Arabidopsis thaliana: one gene and its partners. The protein of the gene in region 1 interacts with the protein of each later gene in a pairwise test. Each region holds a gene or a part of one and is shown in the gene's direction. Other genes may lie near its edges.

The links. The genes of interacting proteins can lie anywhere in the genome.
Region 2: the proteins of SAP18 (region 1) and AT2G41710 interact in binary tests that used the Arabidopsis thaliana proteins (3 or more experiments, as listed by UniProt).
Region 3: the proteins of SAP18 (region 1) and AT1G19330 interact in a two-hybrid assay, tested with the Arabidopsis thaliana proteins (one study listed by BioGRID).

The regions. Positions count from the first base shown.
Region 1 is NC_003071.7:18,797,572-18,805,043, reverse strand, and holds SAP18 (SIN3 associated polypeptide P18), read left to right. Parts: upstream 1-3,660; 5' UTR 3,661-3,720; coding exon 3,721-3,831; intron 3,832-3,945; coding exon 3,946-3,978; intron 3,979-4,090; coding exon 4,091-4,201; intron 4,202-4,443; coding exon 4,444-4,539; intron 4,540-4,936; coding exon 4,937-5,011; intron 5,012-5,130; coding exon 5,131-5,163; 3' UTR 5,164-5,516; downstream 5,517-7,472. Other genes in the region: AGL6 (AGAMOUS-like 6), read right to left, coding at 410-591. UniProt on the Arabidopsis thaliana protein: Links the histone deacetylase complex to transcriptional repressors bound to chromatin. Involved in the tethering of the SIN3 complex to core histone proteins.
Region 2 is NC_003071.7:17,397,592-17,405,945, reverse strand, and holds AT2G41710 (Integrase-type DNA-binding superfamily protein), read left to right. Parts: upstream 1-2,895; 5' UTR 2,896-3,042; coding exon 3,043-3,269; exon of another isoform or gene 3,270-3,329; coding exon of another isoform or gene 3,330-3,403; exon of another isoform or gene 3,404-3,491; coding exon of another isoform or gene 3,492-3,522; exon of another isoform or gene 3,523-3,582; intron 3,583-3,609; coding exon 3,610-3,692; intron 3,693-3,838; coding exon 3,839-3,847; intron 3,848-3,936; coding exon 3,937-4,025; intron 4,026-4,205; coding exon 4,206-4,279; intron 4,280-4,344; coding exon of another isoform or gene 4,345-4,359; coding exon 4,360-4,410; exon of another isoform or gene 4,411-4,756; coding exon 4,757-4,818; intron 4,819-4,901; coding exon 4,902-5,686; downstream 5,687-8,354. Other genes in the region: EMB2654 (Tetratricopeptide repeat (TPR)-like superfamily protein), read left to right, coding at 1-863, 964-1,069, 1,159-1,363, 1,460-1,592, 1,709-1,813, 1,921-2,041, 2,138-2,202; AT2G41705 (camphor resistance CrcB family protein), read right to left, coding at 6,036-6,254, 6,338-6,750, 6,838-7,030, 7,113-7,211, 7,307-7,390, 7,486-7,863.
Region 3 is NC_003070.9:6,677,895-6,686,479, reverse strand, and holds AT1G19330 (histone deacetylase complex subunit), read left to right. Parts: upstream 1-2,946; 5' UTR 2,947-3,189; coding exon 3,190-3,402; intron 3,403-4,670; coding exon 4,671-4,797; intron 4,798-4,964; coding exon 4,965-5,119; intron 5,120-5,208; coding exon 5,209-5,274; intron 5,275-5,371; coding exon 5,372-5,440; intron 5,441-5,539; coding exon 5,540-5,656; 3' UTR 5,657-5,917; downstream 5,918-8,585. Other genes in the region: AT1G19340 (Methyltransferase MT-A70 family protein), read right to left, coding at 1-60, 146-235, 329-506, 595-670, 829-862, 978-1,108, 1,187-1,682; AT1G19320 (Pathogenesis-related thaumatin superfamily protein), read right to left, coding at 6,302-6,990, 7,099-7,153.

The DNA.
Region 1 (7,472 bases):
TTACACACTGATCTAAAAGGGAAAACCCTAGTTTGTTTGTTTTTTTTTTTTTTAAAGCTAGAATTAAACCCATTTGAAACCTGTCATCTGTAAGATTAAAGAATCAAAGGAATTCATGAATGGGAAATCAACAAATTATAACGTACGGAAGGACCTATTAGCTTATGATAAAGGATCCAAGAGGGAGACACGATATAACGATGAACCCTAATTACCACAGGATAAACGATACAACCATTAAGAATAACCACAAGATCAAAACATGATCCGACTCTTGAATCGTACGATGTAACAAGTAGCAAATGAACCCATTTATTAATCAATTTTCATATAAAAAACATAGCTTTATTGGATGAATCTTAATATATATAGCACAAAAGTTGGTTCAAAGGAGCAAAGATATATATACCCAACACTACCAAACTCGTAGAGCTTGCCACGGCTTGAGAAGATGATGAGAGCAACTTCGGCATCGCAAAGAACAGAAAGCTCATAAGCTTTCTTCAGCAAACCGTTTCTTCTTTTTGAGAAGGTCACTTGTCTATTAATCTTGTTCTCTATCCTCTTCATCTCCACTCTCCCTCTTCCCATCTTTCTCTCTCCTTCTCTTGATTCTGATTTCTTCTTCTTCTCAAGAATTGGTAACTTTTTTTCAAGAATAGATAAAAGGAATAAAGTATCGTACACGATAAATGTGTTGCTATATATATAAACTTGTATTACTTTCAATTCTTCTTGTTACAGGTTAATATGGTGCGTTATTACATAAATCCTTTTTAATTAATTATTAGTCGTCCTAAGTATGTGAAAGTGGCACCAACAAATGAGATATTTGTTGTTGAAGAAATTAAATATAAATATCGTCATATATTTGATGGAACAAAATGATAACTCTGTCTTCATCGTTATAGCTAGATTCCTAAAAATGGAAATCTACTTGTAACAGTCGGACCATTGAAAATTCCTTTTATTTTCTCTTTTTAATTATTAGGACTCTTTTCTTTTCTTTTTTGCTTTTTTTACATAGAGCGCGATGTTTCAAATTCAAACTAACTCATTTTGTTTCCAAATGTTATGGCTCATGTTCTTCTATAACTAGTTATTGTACCCTTTTCAAGCTATCCTAGCGTGTTCTTTTATTTGATGCTGCGCCAGCGGCAATAGCGGACTGAAACGACGTGTCATGAGAAGTAGTAGGTAAGTAAAACGACATTAAAGCTTGAAAATAACAATTTCGGATGAGTCGCCGATGATAGCCGATGAATTGCAATTGCATCAAATGAATCGCTGAAATTAAGCAGCGTCACGTCAATCTTCATCATCGTACATCTTTTGCGGCAGTTCTTCTCTAATCAATGTATTTTTTCTCGCCGCAGATCTGTTTTTCTTCTTTGTTGTCGCTGACGCTGCGTTCATTAAAAGAACACGCTAAATTAAATAGAAAATTTGGTTTTCTAATGCGGTGAAGGATTGATATATTATACTCGCAACCATGTATCTTGATTGAACCGTGATTCAATATGTTTGGTTAAAATGTCTACTTGATCTAAAATCGGACGAAGTAAACTACGTGCGAAATTAATGCTGATTGGTTTTACAAATTTGTGAACTTTTATTTGGTCAATGAAAAGGGGCAGAAAATTCATCATTGTTTTGAAGCTCTCGCAGAGCTGGTTAAATATAGTAAGATGTTGGGTTAGGTAAAATTGTCTTTAAAAATGTTTACCTCTGAAAATGATTGAAAAATGAGATATTTTCCTATATATATATATATATATGTATGTATTATTTACTTACAGTTTGATACATATATATGTATTCATTCATATATATATATGCAATCATTTACTTACAGTTTAATTGCTAATATCTGAATGATTATTTTTAATCAATTTTTTGATGTTTTTGTCCCTTGTTGTATCTGCATCATTTGATATGTTGACGATTCTTTCAACGTTATTCATCAAAACGGTAACTAATTAATTTTAGGTTTTAAACTTGGAAGTTAAATAGGGGACATTTCACTTTTTCTACAAATTTTTTCGACAGTTCAATGGAAAACGTCAAGTTAATTTTCGGCTAATGAGATATTGAAGCTCAATGGAGTTAATTAACAGATCATAAATGAAACACGTGTAAGGGAATCTGCTACTCTTTTGTATTGTAGGCCTTAACTTTTTTTATCGATCAGTCGGCGTGTCAGTGTCTTGTGGTCTTAAGGAAAAATATCCGAACCTCATCATCTCCACGAGTTAAATAGTATATATCCTTCTTCTTCGTACGAGGTTAAGACAACTAAAATCTTAAAAAATAAATTAAATACTTAAAATCAATGAATCGTTTCATATATATACATATATATATATATAATATTTATGTGCTTCGATTAATTAGTACATGTAACTATTTTACGAACGTTTAGTTATCGCCCATTTGCACATAAGTTTACAAACAAACATAGAATCATCACATTATATATTGTGCAAAATTCAAATACAAGATGATAAATCTTTACATCTTCAACTACAAACACGATATATGATATCAAGTTATCAACCAATCAAGAGCTGTAATCTAGTAGTTTTTTATTTTTTGTTAAAAAGTTGTAATCTAGTAGTTTCATTTTCATCTATCTTTTTACATTATAGAAAAATGAAAGTATAGAAAAATGAAAGCTTATCAAAAGTTAGTGGGCTACATCTACATTATATTAAAAAAATATATATATATATATATATATATATATATATATATATATATATCAATAACTAGATCGGACAGTGACCAAACCAATCTCGTTGTGTCCAATCCAAGAAAATAACAAAGGAAAGTCGTACGTTTGATGATATAAAAACCTTTTTATGTTTGGACGAGTTTCATAGAACATGGTGGACAAAATTATAGTACTATATACTATTTAGTATCTCCTTTTGAAAAACAGTAAGCCATGTAAATGAATTTGTACAATTAACAGCTATTTAAAAAGCAAAAAAAAAAACAGTGAATGTTTATTTACAAAGTTCCGAAGGGAAGAGGTTGTGGTAGTGGTTAGGGGCATGCCAAATACGGAAAGGGAGGCAAAGAAGATCGGGTAGTCTTCATAATTTCATACTTTTCACTTTGTAGTAATCTTTCCTTTTCTTTTTTAATTTCATCACCAATGTTTCTTTGTTCAAATTCATATCCACACACTCTTTTGGAAATGGCACTGCAGCTTCATGTGAGGTGTGGGGTCATTGCGCCTTATCGTCTGAAAATGTTACCCTCTTGACATTCAATGACCCCATTTTCTTATTTTCCATAATTTCTTTTACCATTTTACTATAACAAGAATGATGCAAAAGGAATAGGCAAAAAACAGCATATTATTTTTTAGTGGGATCCTAGTAGGTCACTTGAAGTCTCTATGCATTGATTATGGATTGCTATATTTGTCTCTCTTTTTATTTTTGAATTTCGAGTTAGTGATCTTCAATGTGTGTTTCAAATATAGATATTCAAAGGTTATAAACCAAGAAAAGAAAAAGTAGAAAAAAAATATATATATTTCAAATCTTTTAAACGGACCATTGGCAACAAAATCTATAAACGAGTTAGGCCCAAATTGTTGTACAAAAGGCCCATTAGGTTAAATAAGTATGGGCCTAAAGCGGTCCGATCAATCTCTGTGCCATTACCTTCTTCTTCGTCGTAGTGATTTCTCTCGAGAGAAAAAGAGAGATGGCTGAAGCAGCGAGAAGACAAGGTGGTGGGAGACCATTACCGCCACCTCCGAGAGGCGTTAACCAACAACCTCCTCGCCCTAAACCTGAACCTGTCGATCGTGAAAAGGTTTGTGTTCGATTTCATTATTCGCGAATCGTTGAATCATCATCCTTTAGGGTTTCCTTTTAGGGTTTTTATCTGTACTTATTGATTTCTTTATCTTTAACCTTCGAATCGCAGACATGTCCCCTTCTTCTTCGTGTTTTCACCAAGGTACTCTTCTTCACTGATTTTACTGAATGCAAGTTTAATCACTGGAGAACTGGCTATGTTTGTTTCTGAATTAGTCTGCAAATTAGGATTAATTGGGTAGGTTTGATTGCAGAGTGGTGGTCATCATACTAGTGAAGATTATGCTGTGAGAGGCAAAGAACCAAAGGATGAAGTTCAAATCTACACTTGGAAAGATGCCAGTCTTCGCGAGCTAACAGATTTGGTATGTCTTCTACCATTAAGATTTAGATTGGGTGCTTGAGACAACAATAAAGCAGCTTGCTTTGAGAACTTTTCTTGTGTAGTTTTGTTTTTACAAATATGACGGATTTTCAGCTAAAGGACTCACTTTGTTTTTACTGCTGAGGAGTGCTGATTAAAATTCACATTTTTGGGGGTTTTGTGTAACGTACAAAGGTGATGCTTCTCTCATAAGCACAATGTTAAATCACGTTTTCATTGCAGGTTAAAGAAGTTTCTGTAGCAGCTAGGAGAAGGAATGCTAGATTGTCTTTTGCGTTTGTTTATCCTAACAATAAAGGTGGCTATAATGTGAGAGAGGTAAGATTACGTTCTCTTCACAATCTTGATCAGATAAGTTGTCACCGTAGCCACGCATGATCATTGATGCATTCTAGAGTTTCTGTGTTTTCCCCTGCCACACCTCTTTGTCGCACATGTAGCTACCAGTATCATTCGGAGTTTTGTCAACAATGTTTCTCTTGTACATGTCTTTCGCTTATTGACAACTCATCTTCTCATGGTTATTGATTTTTGAAACTTCAGAGAGACCACATAATCATAGCTAGTTACTACAGAATGAAGTAATTTGATTGAATGGATGCTTTCAGATTCAATCGTTATGGCTTTACTTGTTCTCTTGTGATGTTTGCATATGTATTCAAGAACCCATGAGAAGAGTCTGATCTTGTGGTGTTGTTTCTGTTAATTGATAAAGGTTGGGGAGACGATGGCTTATCCAAACCGAAAACAACCAGATGACAGTAAAACGCTTTCCGAACTTCCGTTTGAGGTAAGTTTTTTACATGCATAGAAGATCATCTTGTATGATGATTATATAGTCTATAACATTAATTTTTCATATTCTGTTACCCAAGTAGCTATAACTGAAGTTGATCAATCTATCTGCAGATTGGAGATTATCTGGATGTGGCAATTTACTAGGAGGTTTCTGTTTCTTGTTAAGTGGGATTTGGGTGCGTGCACAATGGAAGAAGTACACATTCATATGGTTGTATCATCTTAAACTTCGTTTAGACATGTTTGTATTTTTTGGATCTAGTCTATGTACTAATGTCTAATGGTTTAGTATGTTATCCTGCTTTTTTTGTTTAACGTGTTTTCTTTTCTAAAGAACCAAAAAAAAGATGGAAGAACTCAAGCCATTTTATATACAAAAAGGTATAAATTTAGACTATCTATAGACTATAGCACATGAATATGTATTAAATTAAGATTTCAACCCAATTTACTTTTATTAGTAGAATTAATACTCGCACTTAACGTCGGAGAAGTAGCTGAGAAAAAGAAATCGTGAAAAAAATGAGAGAAGAGGATGAATTTAGACAACATTAATCATCAAAACTATAGTGATAAACATAGAAGAGTGGGCAATGCATTTCAAATATTCTCAAAAATAAAGATATAGTTATGGAATTATACAAAAGTTTAATAGCAAAATATGAACGTTGCGTTTACGATTCCCTATATTGTTCCAACGTTAAGTTTGATTAGACTTGAAAGTTGAAAGTATAATAAAATTTAAACGTTGAAACGGTAACATTTTATTACCGTTAGAAGATAATATTTTATTACAAAAATTCAGATAAATGGCTCTCTATAAATACTCCCATCTTGGGTCAGAAATCGGAATCCTCTTCATTGGTTCATATTTTACAAAATGTCGAGAAACAATCTGTTTTTATTTCTTAATTCTGGTTCTTCCACTTGAGTCAAGACCTCATTCAAACAAACATAAAGCATCATCCTTACAAGGTAAAATACTCTGGTCTAAATCCTCTAGTGTTTACCGTTAAATGGTTTTTTTTTTTTTCATTAAATGGTTCTTAGTAGTTTGTTCACCTGTTCTTCATCTTTTAGTCATCTTTTAGGGAGTTGAACATGAAATTCAATGTCTGTGTTGTAAATCCATTGTGTATGTATATGTATTGCTGGCTTAACTTCAATGATTAGGACAATAAACTGATTTTTAGCTATATTTGTTTCTTTCATAAACTGAGCATTTTAGTTAGATATATATATGTTCTGTCTAAAATGAATTTCATTTGCTGTGTTTTAAATCCATTTTTTGTGTATATGTATTGCTGGCTTAACTTCAACGACTAGGAAAATATTTTTAGCCATATTTGCTTCTATCATAAAACATTTTTAGTTATGTATCGGTTCTGTCTAAATGAAAACATAGAAAAAGGTTTTTATTTTATGAAAAAACAAAGATAGAATAGGTTGCCTATAAAATGCTTTTGATTTTTTTGTAAATAATATATGCATATACCAAAAATGATAAACGAAAAAAAAACGATTGTAATGGAATATTGATTTTCGTTAATTAATTTTGCAAGGGTTGATGAAGAAGGGAAAACAAAGCCTTTGGGACTCTATCCAGCGTGTTGCAATCAAGCTTTGCTAGCCTTTGTTGAATTTTACTAGATTGTGCATGTGGCAATCTAGTGATTTTGTATCTTTTTTCTTTCCTGATAAGATACATGGATGTGTATAAATGGGCGTATAGTGATGTGTAAGGTGCGTATAGATGAATGTATAGGCGTAGATGAATGTATAGATGCATGTATAGGCGTAGATGAATGTTTAGTGATGTGTAAGGTGTGCGCATAGATGAATGTATAGGCATAGATGTATGTATAGGCGTAGATGAATATGTAGGTGTAGATGGGCGTATTAGTAGAGTGTGTGAGCGTAGAACATTAGACAAACGAGGGACAAAAATGCGCAACGCGGGCCGTAGCCAAAGAAAAAACGCGAAGCTTAACAAAACACAAAAAAAAAACAGACGCCAAATCGCAAAGTCAAAGCGACATAGTCGAAACATGTAACAAATGGCAAAAACAAATAAAGCATAGTTGAAACTCTAACAAAGACAAGATTAATCCGTGTCGAAAGACAAAATTAATCTAAGTCGAAATTATCAAAAACACTTTAAAAATAAAAAACAACTGAAAAAGTTATTAAAGCGACTTCAAAATAACACTAAAATAATCGAAAGAGAAAATTAATAAGTCGAAATTATCAAAAACACTTTAAAAATAAAAAACAACTGAAAAAGTTATTAAAGCGACTTCAAAATAACACTAAAATAACATTAATATCCTTTAAAAACACCAACTTTCGAAATCTATTAGGTTACGGCTATAAGTCAGAATGTGCAATTGAATTACTTTCATGCAGACTTCGGCTACATTATCAAAAATCGAATAACTTTCGAGTCATGTTGA
Region 2 (8,354 bases), 1.4 Mb from region 1:
ATTGTCTGTCAAAGCTCGGTCAAAGTAGCCAAGCCCTTGATCTTTTCAATTCCATGAGGGAGAAGAGAGCTGAGTGCAGACCTGATGTTGTGACATTTACGAGCATCATGCATTTATACTCTGTCAAGGGAGAGATAGAAAACTGCAGAGCCGTGTTCGAAGCAATGGTTGCAGAAGGTCTAAAGCCTAATATTGTTTCCTATAATGCCTTAATGGGTGCCTATGCTGTTCATGGAATGAGTGGAACTGCTCTCTCAGTGTTAGGAGATATCAAGCAGAATGGTATTATCCCAGATGTGGTCTCTTATACATGCTTGCTCAATTCTTATGGAAGATCACGTCAACCTGGGAAGGCAAAGGAGGTATTCCTCATGATGAGGAAGGAAAGGAGAAAGCCAAATGTTGTTACTTACAATGCATTGATTGATGCTTATGGGTCTAATGGGTTTCTAGCTGAAGCTGTGGAAATCTTTCGGCAGATGGAACAAGATGGCATTAAGCCAAATGTTGTTTCAGTATGCACTCTTTTGGCTGCTTGTAGTAGGTCTAAAAAAAAGGTGAATGTTGATACTGTACTTTCCGCAGCACAGTCGAGAGGCATTAATCTCAATACGGCAGCCTATAACTCAGCCATTGGAAGCTATATAAATGCTGCAGAACTTGAGAAGGCCATTGCATTGTATCAGAGTATGAGAAAAAAGAAAGTCAAAGCTGATTCTGTTACTTTCACTATCCTTATAAGCGGTTCATGTAGGATGTCAAAATACCCTGAAGCAATTAGTTACTTGAAGGAGATGGAAGATCTCAGTATTCCATTGACAAAGGAGGTGTACTCTTCGGTTCTATGTGCTTACAGCAAACAGGCAAGTGCTTAGAGTTTGAGCTCAGAAGAAGACGTGTGTATTCAATAGAATTCTGATTTTCATATGGTTTGACTGTCACTTTCTTTGTGATAATTTCCAGGGTCAAGTTACAGAAGCAGAATCCATATTCAACCAGATGAAAATGGCTGGGTGCGAACCTGATGTGATTGCATACACTTCAATGCTCCATGCTTACAATGCTTCAGGTAAATACCATGAGTGTAAGACTGTTAAAAATGGTAACAAAATGTTTTCAGTGGATCTGAGTTGGCTTGGAATGGTTTTGTGTTGCCAGAAAAGTGGGGAAAGGCTTGTGAACTCTTCCTGGAAATGGAGGCAAATGGAATAGAGCCAGATTCGATTGCTTGTTCAGCTTTGATGAGAGCTTTCAACAAGGGAGGTCAACCGTCAAATGTCTTTGTCCTGATGGATTTAATGCGGGAAAAAGAAATCCCCTTCACTGGTGCGGTCTTCTTTGAGATATTTTCGGCTTGTAACACGTAAGTTCTTGTATGTCTATTTAAAACATTACAGTAAAATACTTGCTCGAATTACAGAAAGAGCAATATATCACCCTTCTTCTTTCAACATTGCAGCTTGCAGGAATGGAAAAGAGCAATAGACCTCATCCAAATGATGGATCCGTACCTGCCATCGCTTTCTATCGGGTTAACTAATCAGATGCTGCATCTTTTCGGGAAGAGTGGTAAAGTTGAAGCAATGATGAAGGTACAACGAACTTTTAGTTGATCAGCTAATTAGACTTCCACATTATCTTTCTTTTCTGCCAACCTGTTTACAAAAGAATGTTAACGAAACCATGTTGTACCACTAAACACACGCAGCTGTTCTATAAGATTATTGCCTCTGGTGTTGGAATCAACCTCAAGACTTATGCAATACTGTTGGAACATCTTTTAGCTGTTGGAAACTGGAGAAAATACATTGAGGTAATACTTTTTTGTTTGTCTCTTGCCAAATGAATTTCAATTAGCAATGACCAAGCAAGTTTTGCGGTTGAGAAATAAAATTTGACTTTTGTGTGAATGATTTGCAGGTTTTAGAATGGATGAGTGGTGCTGGTATTCAACCCTCGAACCAAATGTATCGTGACATAATCTCCTTTGGTGAAAGAAGTGCAGGGATCGAGTTCGAGCCTCTAATACGCCAAAAATTGGGTGAGATGAGAGAGGAATGCAAAATAAATGATTCTGTCACATGATTTTCGATCTTTTTGGTGTCTCACATTTCATTTTTTGTTGGTTATTCCATAGAATCACTGAGAAACAAAGGAGAAGGTCTGATTCCAACTTTTAGACACGAAGGCACATTGTTGTAATTTCCACTATATGCTTGTATTTTTGGCCCAGTGATTATGCATATGATGTTTGTAACTTGTAATCTCCTCTATCGATAATATGATAATTCAATTCAGAAAACGAAATCATTTTAGTATTGAAAATAAACGTAGATTGTTGGCTAGAGTTACATATTGAATTGCTATAGGATCCAGCTTGTATGTGCAGATAATAGATAAACTGATACAAGACATTCAATTCAACCAATCATTTCAAAAAGTTTGAATTATGATTTTTAAATGGAATGATTCGATGTGTAAGTCATTACAACGGTAGCAATATGAAGAATCAAATGGTAGGAAAGAAAATCCGAATTTAAAATATTCCGAAAATTATTAAGCTTAGTTTGATAAACAAAACAACAACATCGTGAGTGTACCATAGGAAGAATATTCCTTGGAACGAGGCGAGAGTTGGGAAACACTTCACATTAAAATGTCAGAATCCAGAAACAGATCACGTACACGTGGACATAATTAGTACACGTCAGCATATAAACCTATTCTACTAATGACGAAAGCACCCTCGTCTCCGTACATAGCCGTTGCAGTTATTATCTTTCGCTTCGTTGAAAAAGGAAAAACAAAATTGGGACGTAATGGTAAATTAAGTCCGTAATTTTATTTTGCCGTTGTTTAGATTACTAGAAAAGACTCAAAAATCAAAATCATTGTATTCGGTGAAAAAGGAAAGAGTCAAAGTTGAATTTTCTCAGCTCTCACTCTCTTTTTCTCTCTCTTTACTTCTACTGTATCAAGAAGCTCCGTTTTGCTTAGCCATAGTGCGTCTAGGGTTTGGTTGGTGGGAAGAAGGTTCCGATCATGGCGTCGGTGTCGTCGTCGGATCAAGGACCTAAGACAGAAGCAGGATGTAGCGGCGGAGGAGGAGGAGAGAGCTCGGAGACAGTGGCGGCGAGTGATCAGATGTTGTTGTATAGAGGTTTTAAGAAGGCGAAGAAGGAGAGAGGTTGTACAGCTAAGGAGCGTATTAGTAAAATGCCTCCGTGCACTGCTGGGAAAAGGAGTTCCATATACCGGGGAGTCACCAGGTACTGTGACTTTTCAAATCGGGATTGTCGGTTTATGATGCGGAGGAGATTGGAGTATAGGTTTGGTTGTGAATTGGGAGTTGTGTTATCTGTATTAGAGTATGGAATGTTTGGATTGGTGGATATGCACTTTGGTTAGGGATCTTGTGTGGAGCTAAATTATCTGGAATCTGTAAACTGTTCTAAAACACACTAATTTTCACCTAATGTCAGATTTTATAGTGTCTAGGCTCAAACTAGAAGAAATGAGTAGGTGTGCTTAGCATCTGTATGAGGTTTTTGTTCCATAGCAGTTGGAGATGTTGATGCGTTTTGTTTGTCGTATTTGTGTTGAGTACAGACATAGATGGACAGGTCGTTATGAAGCTCACCTTTGGGATAAGAGTACCTGGAACCAAAACCAGAACAAGAAGGGAAAACAAGGTTCCTCTTCTTCTTTTTTTTTTCTCTCTGCATCTGATAAAATTGCTGTTGTCATTTGCAATAAGTTTTCTCTTGTTTGGAGTATCAAAGCTGATCTTTTCTGTTTCCTATATATTTTCATGGGTGACGGAATTTCGCCACACCAGTTTATCTAGGTAAGCTAAAAGCTTTATATGTGTTGATTATATTCTTGTATATCAAATTGGATAATTTTTCACTGAAGAACCCAACTCTTACTTGACAGGAGCATATGATGATGAAGAGGCTGCTGCTAGAGCTTACGACCTTGCTGCCTTAAAATATTGGGGTCCTGGGACACTTATAAATTTTCCGGTGAGATTGCTACCGTAGTATGCTTTCTAAGTTACTCTTCAACCGTGTGGTTTCCTTAATAATTTTCATGGTCAATATATATGCATAAGTGGAGTAAGGATGGTTAGAAGTGTTTTGGAGCCACCCTTCTCAAGTTTCACTGTTTTTAGCTACATGCATTTACGTATTTCATTCTCGTAGGTGACTGATTATACCAGGGATTTAGAAGAAATGCAAAATCTCTCAAGGGAAGAATACCTTGCATCTTTACGTAGGTGCGTATGTATTTAAAAGCACTATAGTTTTCTTTTAAGAACCATTTATTGCTGATACTCTTTAGATATCCCTTTGGCAGAAAAAGCAGCGGTTTCTCTAGGGGAATAGCGAAATATCGTGGACTTCAAAGGTAAAACTGGACCAGCAATTGAGTTCTCATTTCTCTGTTTTGTCTGAAAAACTATGGAATCAAGAGTGATCATCTTTGTGTAATTGCCTATAAGGAAGATTCTTTAGTGACACATTGTGGATCATCACGGTTTTGATTAATTGACATATGGTGGATATGCTACTAGTTAATTTCATAGAAAAGTCTATATGCTACTCTTAAGAATAGGGATATGGCAAAACTATCTTCACTGTTTTGGCTGTAGCCCTCTTTAGTTTTGTCTTTTTAACCTTCTTTCTCACAATTAACATTCATACCTGATATGCATTTCTGCTGTCTTTCCATCTATTCTGCACTTCCCGACCAGCCGATGGGACGCATCAGCCAGTCGTATGCCTGGACCTGAATACTTCAGTAACATTCATTACGGTGAGTTGCTAACAATATTGACCTAATTGAAACAAATGTTTGCTTGCATCAGACTATTCAAAACTCATTGTCATTATTAACAGGGGCAGGTGATGATCGTGGAACAGAAGGTGACTTTCTAGGTAGCTTTTGTCTGGAAAGAAAGATTGATCTAACAGGATACATAAAGTGGTGGGGAGCCAACAAGAACCGTCAACCAGAATCTTCATCAAAAGCATCAGAGGATGCAAACGTCGAAGATGCTGGTACTGAGCTTAAAACACTGGAACACACATCCCATGCAACAGAACCATACAAGGCGCCAAACCTTGGCGTCCTTTGTGGAACTCAGAGAAAAGAAAAAGAAATATCATCACCATCAAGCTCTTCTGCTTTAAGCATCTTGTCTCAGTCGCCTGCCTTCAAGAGCCTAGAGGAGAAAGTGTTGAAGATCCAAGAAAGCTGCAATAATGAAAACGATGAGAATGCAAACCGTAACATCATCAATATGGAGAAGAATAACGGCAAGGCAATAGAGAAACCAGTTGTGAGTCATGGAGTTGCTTTAGGCGGTGCTGCTGCTTTGTCTCTTCAGAAAAGCATGTACCCACTTACCTCTCTCTTAACGGCTCCATTGCTCACCAACTACAATACATTGGATCCTCTTGCAGACCCTATTCTCTGGACACCATTTCTTCCTTCAGGATCCTCTCTTACTTCAGAGGTTCGTAGTCATATATCTATAGAACCAGAGACTTCAGAGGTTACTACAACACATCTTCCTTATGTCATTTTCTTTGGCTCTCTTTCTTCTGCAGGTGACAAAGACAGAGACCAGCTGTTCCACGTACAGCTACCTCCCACAAGAGAAATGAGCCGTTCCCTTTAGACTTTATGTATGTCAGATTCTCCTTTTTTGAGATGAATTCGTCGACTTGACATCTCTTTGTCTCTTTTATGGAGAAAAAGTTGGGAAAAGTGTGACAATGGTCTGAAGCAGGAATGTACAGGTTTTGTTAGTGGTTGTGTTTTTTTTTTTCCAGTGTGGAATATAGAATCATGATATTTTGTGTAAAACAGAAAAAAGTTATCATTATAGTATAGAAGTTTGCTCTTAATATTTCTGCACAAGGTATAATATAATTTGATTGTGACCGATCTAATTATTCATCTCTACCAAATGTTACGACTATGTATTATCACATCATCTGCACAAGACTTATCTAGCTTTGATACAACTAACTGAATCCTATTACCCAGACAGGGACTGAGTATATAATAGTTCCAATCGCAAAAGAAACCACAATGGTAAAAGATGCATACGCATAGGCTCTCCATGGGTAATCACTTTCTCTCATCGCATTGAACTCAGCCATGAAGGTCGAAACTGTGCTCAGACATCCCAACAGACCAAACTGTATGCTCGAAGCAACCGTGTTACATGTTCTCGTGTTCACCTGTTTCCCAAAATATATACAATGAATGTTATCTTTTGTGATTTGATCTGTTTGGTAGAGAGAGGAGGTGAGGAAGTTTATACCGATTTCTTCAAGGTAGCCAATGCTGCCATAACGCAAGCTGCAACTACATTTGCAATGAGGGTGCCAAATGGGACCCATCTCAAATTTTGACTATCCTTTCCCAGCCCACGTCCATTGAGTCGGGCTAAGAACCATCTGAGCCAGACACCAGGGGCTGCAACTAAGCAACCAAACCATAGCTGAGCCTCGCTTGTTCCTTTGTCAAACTCTTTCACAAGCAGTATGGAACTGGCAGTGAGTAAAGCCACAAGCAACAGAAGCATCAGGGTCAGAGACACAATATGGCTCTGGAAGGTGTTAACCTTAAGACAATGGAATTTATCCTCAGAAGAAGCTCTTCTATGAAGAAGCCATTTAAACCCTTTGGCCGTTTCCACTCCCAGAATTATGGAGTATGACGTGAGAAACAATCCTGTAAAGTCGTTTATGCTGTAAGCAAGTATGTTTCATCCAATTTAGTAGGTGATTGGAGATTGAGAAGGGAATTTTTTGTTTTTACCTAATAAAAAGCCAAGCACAGCATACACCCATTGACCATCAGCACTAAGATCCAGCATTTTCTGGTTCCAACCGCTGAATGTTGTCAGACTCCCCAAATAACCAGTCGATAATCCTATCGCCACAAATTCAGAAACTCTTGCTATATCTGCTTTGAATACAACGCCAAACCAACCCATCAAGAATGATCCTACCTATAAGGAAGCATTTGGAGAATTTTTATTAAGAAAGATAGGTTTGTAATTAAGTTTGAGATGAGTGCATTGCGACTTTCACCATGTTGGAGGGAAGATCAAGGTACAAGATGCTCCCATCACTTGTTACTCGAGCACCAGTTGGCCCAAACAATTTTTGCAGCAAATATCTCGTAATGGCCTGTATATTTGGAGTCAACGAGTTGATTATAATGATTTAAACAAAAACAAAGCACAACAGAGAGACAGACAGAAAATGGAAAATAAGCATTTTACCCCAAAAATCCCAAAAACAGCCAAATGAATTAGGCATGATATGTACTCCAAGGACTTTGGTAACACTCGCTCTTCCTCCTTTCCCTGTGCAACCCACGAGCTACAATAGATCAAAACATTGGACAAAGAAACCAATACTAACAATGATGTGACTATGCAAAGTTAGAGGTAGTCTCTACGGAGTTGTTTATTTCAGGTGACAAGAGTGACTTGGTCGGTAAAGGAGATGCTGTTATGTCCTCAGGCAAAGTTTTATTTACGGAAGCAGTGTTGAAAGCTCGAAGGTCATGTAATATATCTTGTTCTTGACGAGAAGTATCATGAGTCCCTTGTTCTATAAAATCATCAGCAGACAAACGGCTGCTTCTACCAGCACTATGCCTTCTCCGAAGTGAGCGGTCCCCAATATCCCCTGCCTCTGAGACACTCTCACTATCGACGTCATTGTCAATTAGGTGAGGCAAACTACGTGATAAGCTTAAAGAAGAGGCTACACTGCTCTCCCGACTAAAAGACTTGGCTTGATAAGGTTCTATGCTGCTTTGACCCGTATCCATAGGCGTTGTAGCCAAAGCATAAGATTCTTAAATGATGCTCCACCTGCACATATTTTAAGCCACAGCCACACACACAAGAAAGAAGACATGAAGGAATGTGCAAAAAGAGACAAGAGATAATCGAACAATGTGGCAAGTAAACATTCGAGAAATTCCTAATGCTTATTAAAGACACTGTTTGAAAAGTTTAGCTGTAATCTTCAAAACCATAGCTTTTTGATACTAAGACAACAAATTCAAAAAAGTTCACATATTCATGATAGATTATGACTTTAGTTTATTACTTTCTACAGAAGCAGAATAAGAATGACCTGGTGAAGGGATCCAAAAACAGTTTTCAAGATTTTGTCCTCCACTATCCCTTAAAACAAAAGATAAAAATTTACTTGCGTTTTAGTTAGTGGAAATCGAAAAAAAGGTAGACTAAAATAATCACTTGTTCACCAATAGAGAAAAAAACGAAAATCTTAAAAAGTTGTACAGGTGGCAAA
Region 3 (8,585 bases), on another chromosome or scaffold:
CATGATTATCTGGTTCTTGTCCAAGAGTTTAAAATCTGACCTCTTTTCTGATCCTGCAAGCTATGACATGTATACACAACATGGCTGTTCAAACAGAAGTTCCTTTCTCAGATTATTCAAGTGACAAAAAAATGAATTGACTTACTTCGGTAAAATGGTAGCCTAGTAGAAGGTACTCATAAGGTTTATGATGGACCAGGTCCAGGTCGCAAATCAGTGTACCATCCGGTTTCACCTGAAACATTTACATAGCAAGTATGTAAAATGTCAAGTCATATGTGCAACTCAGAAACCAAGATGGGGACTGAGAGCTGCAAGATGAGCTCACCTTTAACCAATACATTGTAGCTACATACTTAATTCCCCACGCAGGGAATAGCTCTTTCTCAACAAAACTTAGTAATTTCTCTCTATTTGTCACCCACAAAGCCACGAGAGCTCCTTCAGCATGAGCAAGCTGCTTGATCGGAAGAGATAAGAAGTATTGGTTCGGTAAAGTAGGATACCTAAAACAAAGAACCAAGAAACATTGGTCATGAACTTTCAGATACAAAAAATACTTATCCACATGCATACATTAAGTAGATAACGAACTTTGATTTCTGATGAGCACTTGCATTTTCCCAAGGCGGATCAATAACTATAAGATTGTAGCCTTCTTCAGATTTAGCTGCATATATGACATCAATAAGACTATTACATCGCCTACCGATATGATAATGACTGATCTTTTCTCACATGACTCAGGACCAATCAACAAGAACCAGAATACTCTAAAATCTCAGCTTTTAGCAAATTATCTATAATGGACAATAGCACAAGACTTACCAGGAACGAGGTTTCGGATGTGATGTAAATCAGACTTCAAGGCAACATGGTAAAAAGAACTGTAATATCAGAAGAACCATTTCACACAGCAACTAAAAGTTTCCATTTTTTTATAGAATCATAAAATCAGACAAGTAAAAAACACAAACCATGTAGAAGCAACTGTTTCTGGGCATTATATATCTCCGGTTGGAAAACTCAGCTTCAACTTCTTCTCCAATCTCATTCACTACTAGGTTATTGAACACTTGAAACACTCTCTGTTCATTACAACTCTCACCTATCAAGTCCACAAAACACCATCAAATTCATGGGTTTCAAATACGATCTAGCAAGTGACATAGAGAAACCAAAAAACCTTCATTGTCGCAATGTAGATTAAAACTCAGTGTTATCTCATAGAAAGGAGCTTGCCACACTCCTCCAAGCTCAATAAAAGAGACTTCATCGTCACAACACTTGTTCAACAAACTAGAATCATCATCATCATTATCATCACTTAGACCTTTCGTTAAACTCAACAACTCAATTTCCTTTAGAAAAGATTCATGGGCTTTCGATAAGAACAGCCTCGCTTCCTGATGACGAAGATTCGAAGCTTGCTCTCCTACACTAGGAAGGTGAAAGCTAGAGTTTTTCTGCTTCCGTTTTCGCTTTTTCGGATTAGACTCGCTAGAGTGTTGATTGAGTTGCTTCGAATTGAAGAAACGAGAGTAGTAAGCAGAAGGTGAAACCTTAAATCGGGTATATGAACGGTTGGTGATACGAACTGTGTCTAAGAAGAACCAATTGAATTCGTCGGATTCGTAGATACCAGAATCAAGGAATTGAGCTAGCTTATCAGTTTTCGCCATTTAACGGCTCCAACACTCTCTAGTCTCTTTGTTCAAACAAAACCCTCAAAGACGACGATAGAGACAGACGTGTAGGATTATTCTCATTAACCCCTCGAATTTTCATAATTGACCACAATTAGTCACCTAATTTTGAAATGTAACAAGTAACCCCTAATTTAGTGCAAATCCTCTGAAAATTTCCCGGTAATTAATGGATTTTGTTCCAGCCTCTAGATTTCGTAGGTTTATGTTTAAAAACAATAAAGAACAAAAGAATGAAAATTTTGATTTTTATGGGAGGGGAATGGTAGTAAGGGTAAGCATTAAAAGTTACGAATAATTGAAGCAGGCGTTTGGTGAGGGGTCGCTTTGACAGTTTCCCCAAATATGGGGACGGTTTTATTTTTGGGTGGGCTTTGTTAACTGTGACAATGACAATGACTCGATAAAAGTTTTGGACAAATAATTGATCCAAACATGTAACTTTCATATAGTAAGAAAATCATGTATGATTGTATGTAACACAAAAAAAGAAAGATAAAATATTCATAGATCATATCGATCATCTACCTTTATAAAACCTTTATAAAACCTTCTTATAATCGGTCGAAAAAAGGTTTTTGTATTTGCGTCTCTTGAGCTCTTTTGATGATAATATCGATGTGTGTTTAATAGTGTTATCATTAAAGAGACACAACATTAAATCCCTTAGATTTTCTGTATCTAATATACCCAATTATCCCATCGACCAATTTGATTGCTTTTTAGCCATTATATGAGTTTAAAGTTTATGTTCAATGTTTATCTTACTGTATTTGATCCATTTATTTCACTTACTAAGCAGTACTTGTTTCGTTTATTTTGCTGTTTTGAGAACCTGGTTTTCATAAAGTAAAACATTGTTCTCAATAATAATAAAAATCTAGTAATGGAGAGAGCAATAATTATGAAAGAAAGAAAATTATAAGATAAGGACAAAGAAGATCCAAAAAAATTCAAACTATGGAAAAAAGTTACGTGACTAAGGGTATAACCGTCATTTAAATAAAAACGGGTCCCATCTATCTCTGTCTTTATTAAACACCAGTCAACCATTCAGGTCAATCGCGTGTTCTGTAATTACCAAAAGTACCCCTCCGGTTAAATCCAAACAAAAAAACCGGTTCTGTTTTTGCATAACGCATATAGTTTCAGTACAATGCTGACATGGCTTCTTCTAATTGGTCCCCGTGGTGAAAAACCTGTCTCTATCATCCTCTCTTTCCCTCCTCCTCTACCTTCTCTTTACTCTGCTTCTTCTTCTCTCATCTCTCTTCTTCTCTCTCTGCTTCTTCTTGTGGGACAAACCCTAATTATTTTACTTCGATATCTCTCCACTTTTCCCGCTCAATCATCTGATCTTTCCCTCTCTCAGCAATGCATGATCTTCGATTTTCTATCAGTGTTCAAAGCTGAAAAAAATCGAACTGGGTCTGTTGATTTCTTCAGGTCTAAAATCAGATTAGATTAGAGAAGAAGAAGAAGAATGCTGGAAGCTGTAGATAGCTCAGGAGTGGTGAATGGAGGATTCCCGCAGATTCAGAGCTTTTACGGCGATTGCAGTAGTGAAGAAGAGTTATCGGTATTGCCACGTCATACAAAAGTGGTGGTCACCGGAAACAACCGGACGAAATCGGTGCTTGTTGGTCTTCAAGGTGTTGTCAAAAAAGCTGTCGGTCTCGGTGGTTGGCATTGGCTGGTAAAGTTATTTGATTTCTTTCCTTTTTTGGTAAAAATGTTATCTTTGTTGTTTCCTGTTCCGTTTTCCATTTATAGTTAAATTTCGATCTAATCTAGTGTTTTGTTCTCTGTTTTCTGGATTTACCAAGTTTGCAATTGATGAACATAATTTGGGTTTTGGGATGATTTTGTATTTCAAATTTGGGTTTTTTTCCCTTGAATTTCTCAACATGATCAACTTTAAATTAGATATAATCATTCATGAGCTTCGATTTACTAGTTATAGATTCACTAATCAAGTCAATAATTATGTTTCCTCGCATCTAATTTTAAACCAAGAATTGTTAGTTTGATCGAAAATCAAATCTACTTTTGTATTTACCAAATGTTAAATCTGTAAAATTTTCGAAATCTGGCGATTGAACTTGTTGCATGCATGATAGCATTCAAGTCACCATTATTGCTGGATTTTACACTGTTTAACCTTGTATTTATGGTTCTTAGGTAGTTATTTTATTCATGAAACCCTTGAGTGATTTTTATTTTTCTTTAAAAATTAGTTTGCATCAAATAAAGATTCTGAAACATTTTGGTATCTTTGATTATTTTGGTGTTTCATGCTGAGTTTCAGGCTCAATTTAAGGAATCATCTATAGGGGATAAGTGATTTTTGAGTTTGCAAACATTAATTAGGCAAACCAAAAAAGAGGCAACTTTATTTTGGCGCCTGGTCAATAAAACATCATAACAAATATGCACTTGTTATCTAATTCTCCATCATATTTCTTGACATTTTTGTTCTCCACCTTAAGGATCCAAGCTGGCTTTTTGAAATTTGTTAGTCTTTTGATTAATGTTAATCATTTGTTTTAGAGGTTTTTCTTCTTTTTTGTTCTTTCTTAATTAGTTGAGTCATTTTCGTCCCCAAGCAGTGTCACTTCTGTCGATTACTATTCTTTATAAAATCTTTATGCTTTGGTTGGCTAGTTTATATTATAAACTGCTCTGCAAGATCTTTTTGATAGTGTCTCTGTGTATGTGGACCTAAAGGAGTAACTTCACCATATTCTAGCTTTAAACTTTAGAGAATAATCCATATAATTTACGAATTTCTTCAGTATCACGATTATGTTTTACTATTAGTGATATCACATTCCACCAGTTCTTGTCTCCCAGAATTCCTATGGAAGTAACAGTAGGAGTTGAAGTATTAAAATCAATGTCAGTACTTGTTTATGGAGTTAAAAGTATTTAATCAGAATTATTGTTGTGCTTTTTGGTTTGTAGGTTTTGACAAATGGAATAGAAGTAAAGTTGCAGAGGAATGCGCTTAGTGTCCTTGAACCTCCTACTGGAAACGAAGAAGACGATGATCTTGATTTCGAAAACACACAGAGGAATGGCTCTGATATGAGTAAGTTTTGTTCCTTGTTATTTTTGTAACGATTCTGCCAATTTGTCAAAAACTTGATATAGAGATCTCTAAACTTGATTTAGTCTCCTGTGAGCTACTAAGTGATATATTGTTCTTTGATGGGAACCCTTTTAACTGATTTTTTTCAGACTTGTTTCTATGATAAGTTGTTTCTTTTCCAGCATCTGAGGACACACTGAAGCCTCATAAGTCGAAGCTAAGAGGGCAGAGATCATCTCGGTCATCTCACAAGACGATGAGCAGGTCTCTATCATCTGACTCGCAATCAAAAAGTTCGGGTTTTACTCCTCCTGAAAACATGGTATGCATTCAAATTTTTTGACATCTATTCCATTTGAAGATAATGCAACAAATCGTAAGTTTACTGATGCTATATCATATGCTTTCAAGCAGAAGGTTGATCTTAGCAAATTGGAAATGCCTGCTTTACTGAATTATTGGCGACATTTTAACCTTGTAAGTTGAATTCCAGAAGAAAAGGAAGAGAAGAAACTTACTTTCGTTTTCTCAATCTTGTTTTCTATGTGCTTGCTTCTGAAGAAACTCTTTGTAGGTGGATGCAATTCCAAATCCATCAAAGGAGCAACTAATTGACATTGTTCAAAGGCACTTCATGTCTCAGGTACGTCAACATCTCTGAGCCTTCACTGTGTTATGGATTTGTCTTAATTTTGTCCTGATAATCAATAAAATGGTGTAAATAACTGTGAAATGAATACAGCAAATGGATGAGCTTCAGGTTATTGTGGGGTTTGTCCAAGCTGCAAAGAGAATGAAGAAGGCTTGCAAGTTTCAATCCAAAGAATCCAGAAACACTGATCTTAACTGCATCAGCTAAAGAAAAGCCCTGACTCTTAACAAATCCTGTATGTACGGTACATCAACTTGTTTAACCATTTGTGGCTTGCTAAGTTTAGTTCTTCTAGTGATGTTTGGCTAAAGGGTAGATGTTGTTTCTTCTTTGCTTCTGTTGTTTAGCCAATGTAAGTACCATCAAAAAAACCAAATAACTCTCTAAAGCTCCCTATTGGAAACTATCTTGTCTGATACGATCTGGAGTGACCGGTATGTTGTTAGAATGTAAATATGTTTGGTATCACTTCTCTCACTTTTTTCTTTCATTTCCTTTAACCTCAAGTCAAATACAAATTGTCCTACCCAAAAAAAAAAAAGAAACTCCTACCAAAAAAACCATTTTACTCAAATAAACTTTGATATTTTTATGTAATAATCTTTTTTCTTAAACAATCAAATATATAAAGTTTCATCTTCTTTTTGAAACATAATCTTTGATTATCTCCTCCTTGTTGATAATAATGGCTATGCATGCCGTATCTCATCTTTTGTTTTAGAAACGTCACCTTTTTGTATTTGTGAAGGAGATTAAAGAGACAAATAAAACATAAAAATATGTTAAAAATGATCAATCTTTTTATTCATTGATAAATAATAATAATTAATGAATAATAAAGGCGATTTTTGCCTAAGAACAGAAACTGATCTCATAATTAGCATTAGTACAAGTAAAAGTACTGGAAGCATCATCGTATGCATAGCTATACGCACTCGGACAAGCTTGTTTAAATATCTTCGAGTAATTCGTGGGCGGACAAGTCGCCGGTGTACTATACGCGCCGGTGCAACAATACTCCGGCTTGTTAAAAGCCTCACAAGCACTCTTACACGCTGCAACACCCGATGGGCCCGTAACTTGTAGCTCTTTTGGACAAATCGCGTTCACGTCCGAAACGCATCCCGCGGTTTTACAATCCCCTGAGCCACCTTGCGGTGTGATTTTCATCTGAACGTTATAACCATCTACGAGGCTCACGTCGTAAAAATCTTGCACGGCGTTTTTCTTTCCGGAGGAGCCGATTGTGAATTCGGCGAGTGTGGCTGGTGGAGCTCCTCCTGCGCCGGCGCATTTTAACTTGCTGCCGCAGTCCCCGGTACCGCATTTACCTGAGCCTGAGGCGTCGAAGTTACAATACGTTCGAGCCCAAAATCGACCGGACCAACCTGGAGAAACGGTGAAGGTTACGGAAGATCCTGAAGCTAAGGCAAATCCGCCGTCGCCGAGTTGTGCGCCGTTTGCGGTGAGGATTCCAGGCCAGATTGTGGAGCCGCAATGGTTTGTTAAGGTGAAGGTTGTACCGGAGACAGAAATTGTACCTTGCAATACAATTCAAAATTAATTAATTATAAACGAAGATATTTTATGAAGATAAATTATTGAATCAAAGTAGTAATCAGAAAATGTTGGAAATGGTTTATGTATACATGTGGCTATGATGAAGGAGATGAAGAGAAGATGTGATGTGGAGAAAATCGCCATTGTTAATTTGAGTATTGAAAATTTGAAGCTGTGAATGATGATGAGTGGAGGAAGTTGATGGTGAGGATCCTCTATTTATAGCGTTTTCTCTCTTCTTTTCAGAACAAGAAAAAAAATCAACTTTAGCTTATTATTTTGGATACTACTTACCATAAAGTGACACATCATATATTGTTTTTACTTTTATTAATTTATGTGATTATTTTTCTTAATTACATAAAAATCAACTTTCATAATATTAAATAGATCTTCCGTTCAATAAGCTGATTTTTTCCCCTCATATTTTGTTAGCAAATATGAAAGTTTATCTTTTTATGTAATTAAGAAAATCTACAAGAGATGTATAAATTGGCAAATATGACGTGTCAGGTAGCAACATTTACTTTGCAAAATGCTCCCAAATAAATGTCATACATGTGTTTTTCAATAACACTATATTTCCTTTTTTGAAAACGTTAATTTAATATAATGTCCTAATTATTAACATGCTACGTGATTTATATAATTTTTCCCGTTATTTTTTGAAACGTGGGAGACCGCACGTGTGGGATTACAACTCTCATACGATCGCACACTCTCGCGCCATTGCGTATTTTTTCCCTTCTACTAATCGTCCAAGAGAATCGATTATCTTTAGCACAAACCTTAATAAAAAGAATGATCCGATACAGAGTTTATAGTTAAGTTCTTAAAGATTAGTGGATTTCTCAGCATATATATTTACTGTCCCACAAACCATAACTCCGAATGAGTCGATGAATCACATTTAGACTCGTTCTATCACGGGCTCGCTTACTCTACTAAATTCGTTCCATCACTGGTGTCTTGTTTATTACGTAACTACCCAATTGTGAATATAGATAAGTACCTGCTTAGTTTTTTCTTCCTCCATCAAAGCAGAGAAAATGGATTCAGAGACAAAACTAAAATCAATCGATAACGCTTATTTCGTTTTAGGTCCTCACCAATTATTCTAAATAAAGATGATCTCGTCACCTGCACCAGCACCTACTCGGATGAGGTTTTGAGGAAGAAGCAAACGTATATAAAGAATAAGATAGATCTGTTGGAGCAGTTACGTACGTTAAAAGAGTGATACGTGTGTTTTGTTTCTCGCATATGTTGTCATTTGAAAAGTTAATGTAAACATCTTCTTGATACAGAAGATTTATCACCGACCAAATCAGAACATGTTCATGAACAAAAGCACACTCTCCATATTTTCCTCACTTTGTCTCAATAATTAAGTTCATGAAGAACATTAAAAACAAACGAAGAATAAGGAGTAGTAAACGTTGGATTAGTCGATAAACGAATGATAAATCGTCGAGCAAGTATCCGTACCGAGTCGGGTCGAATCTGGCTGGCACTGAAACTGACTTAATGAAACCGTCTCAATGTCACATTTTGACCGCCATTAAAGTCGTACGTT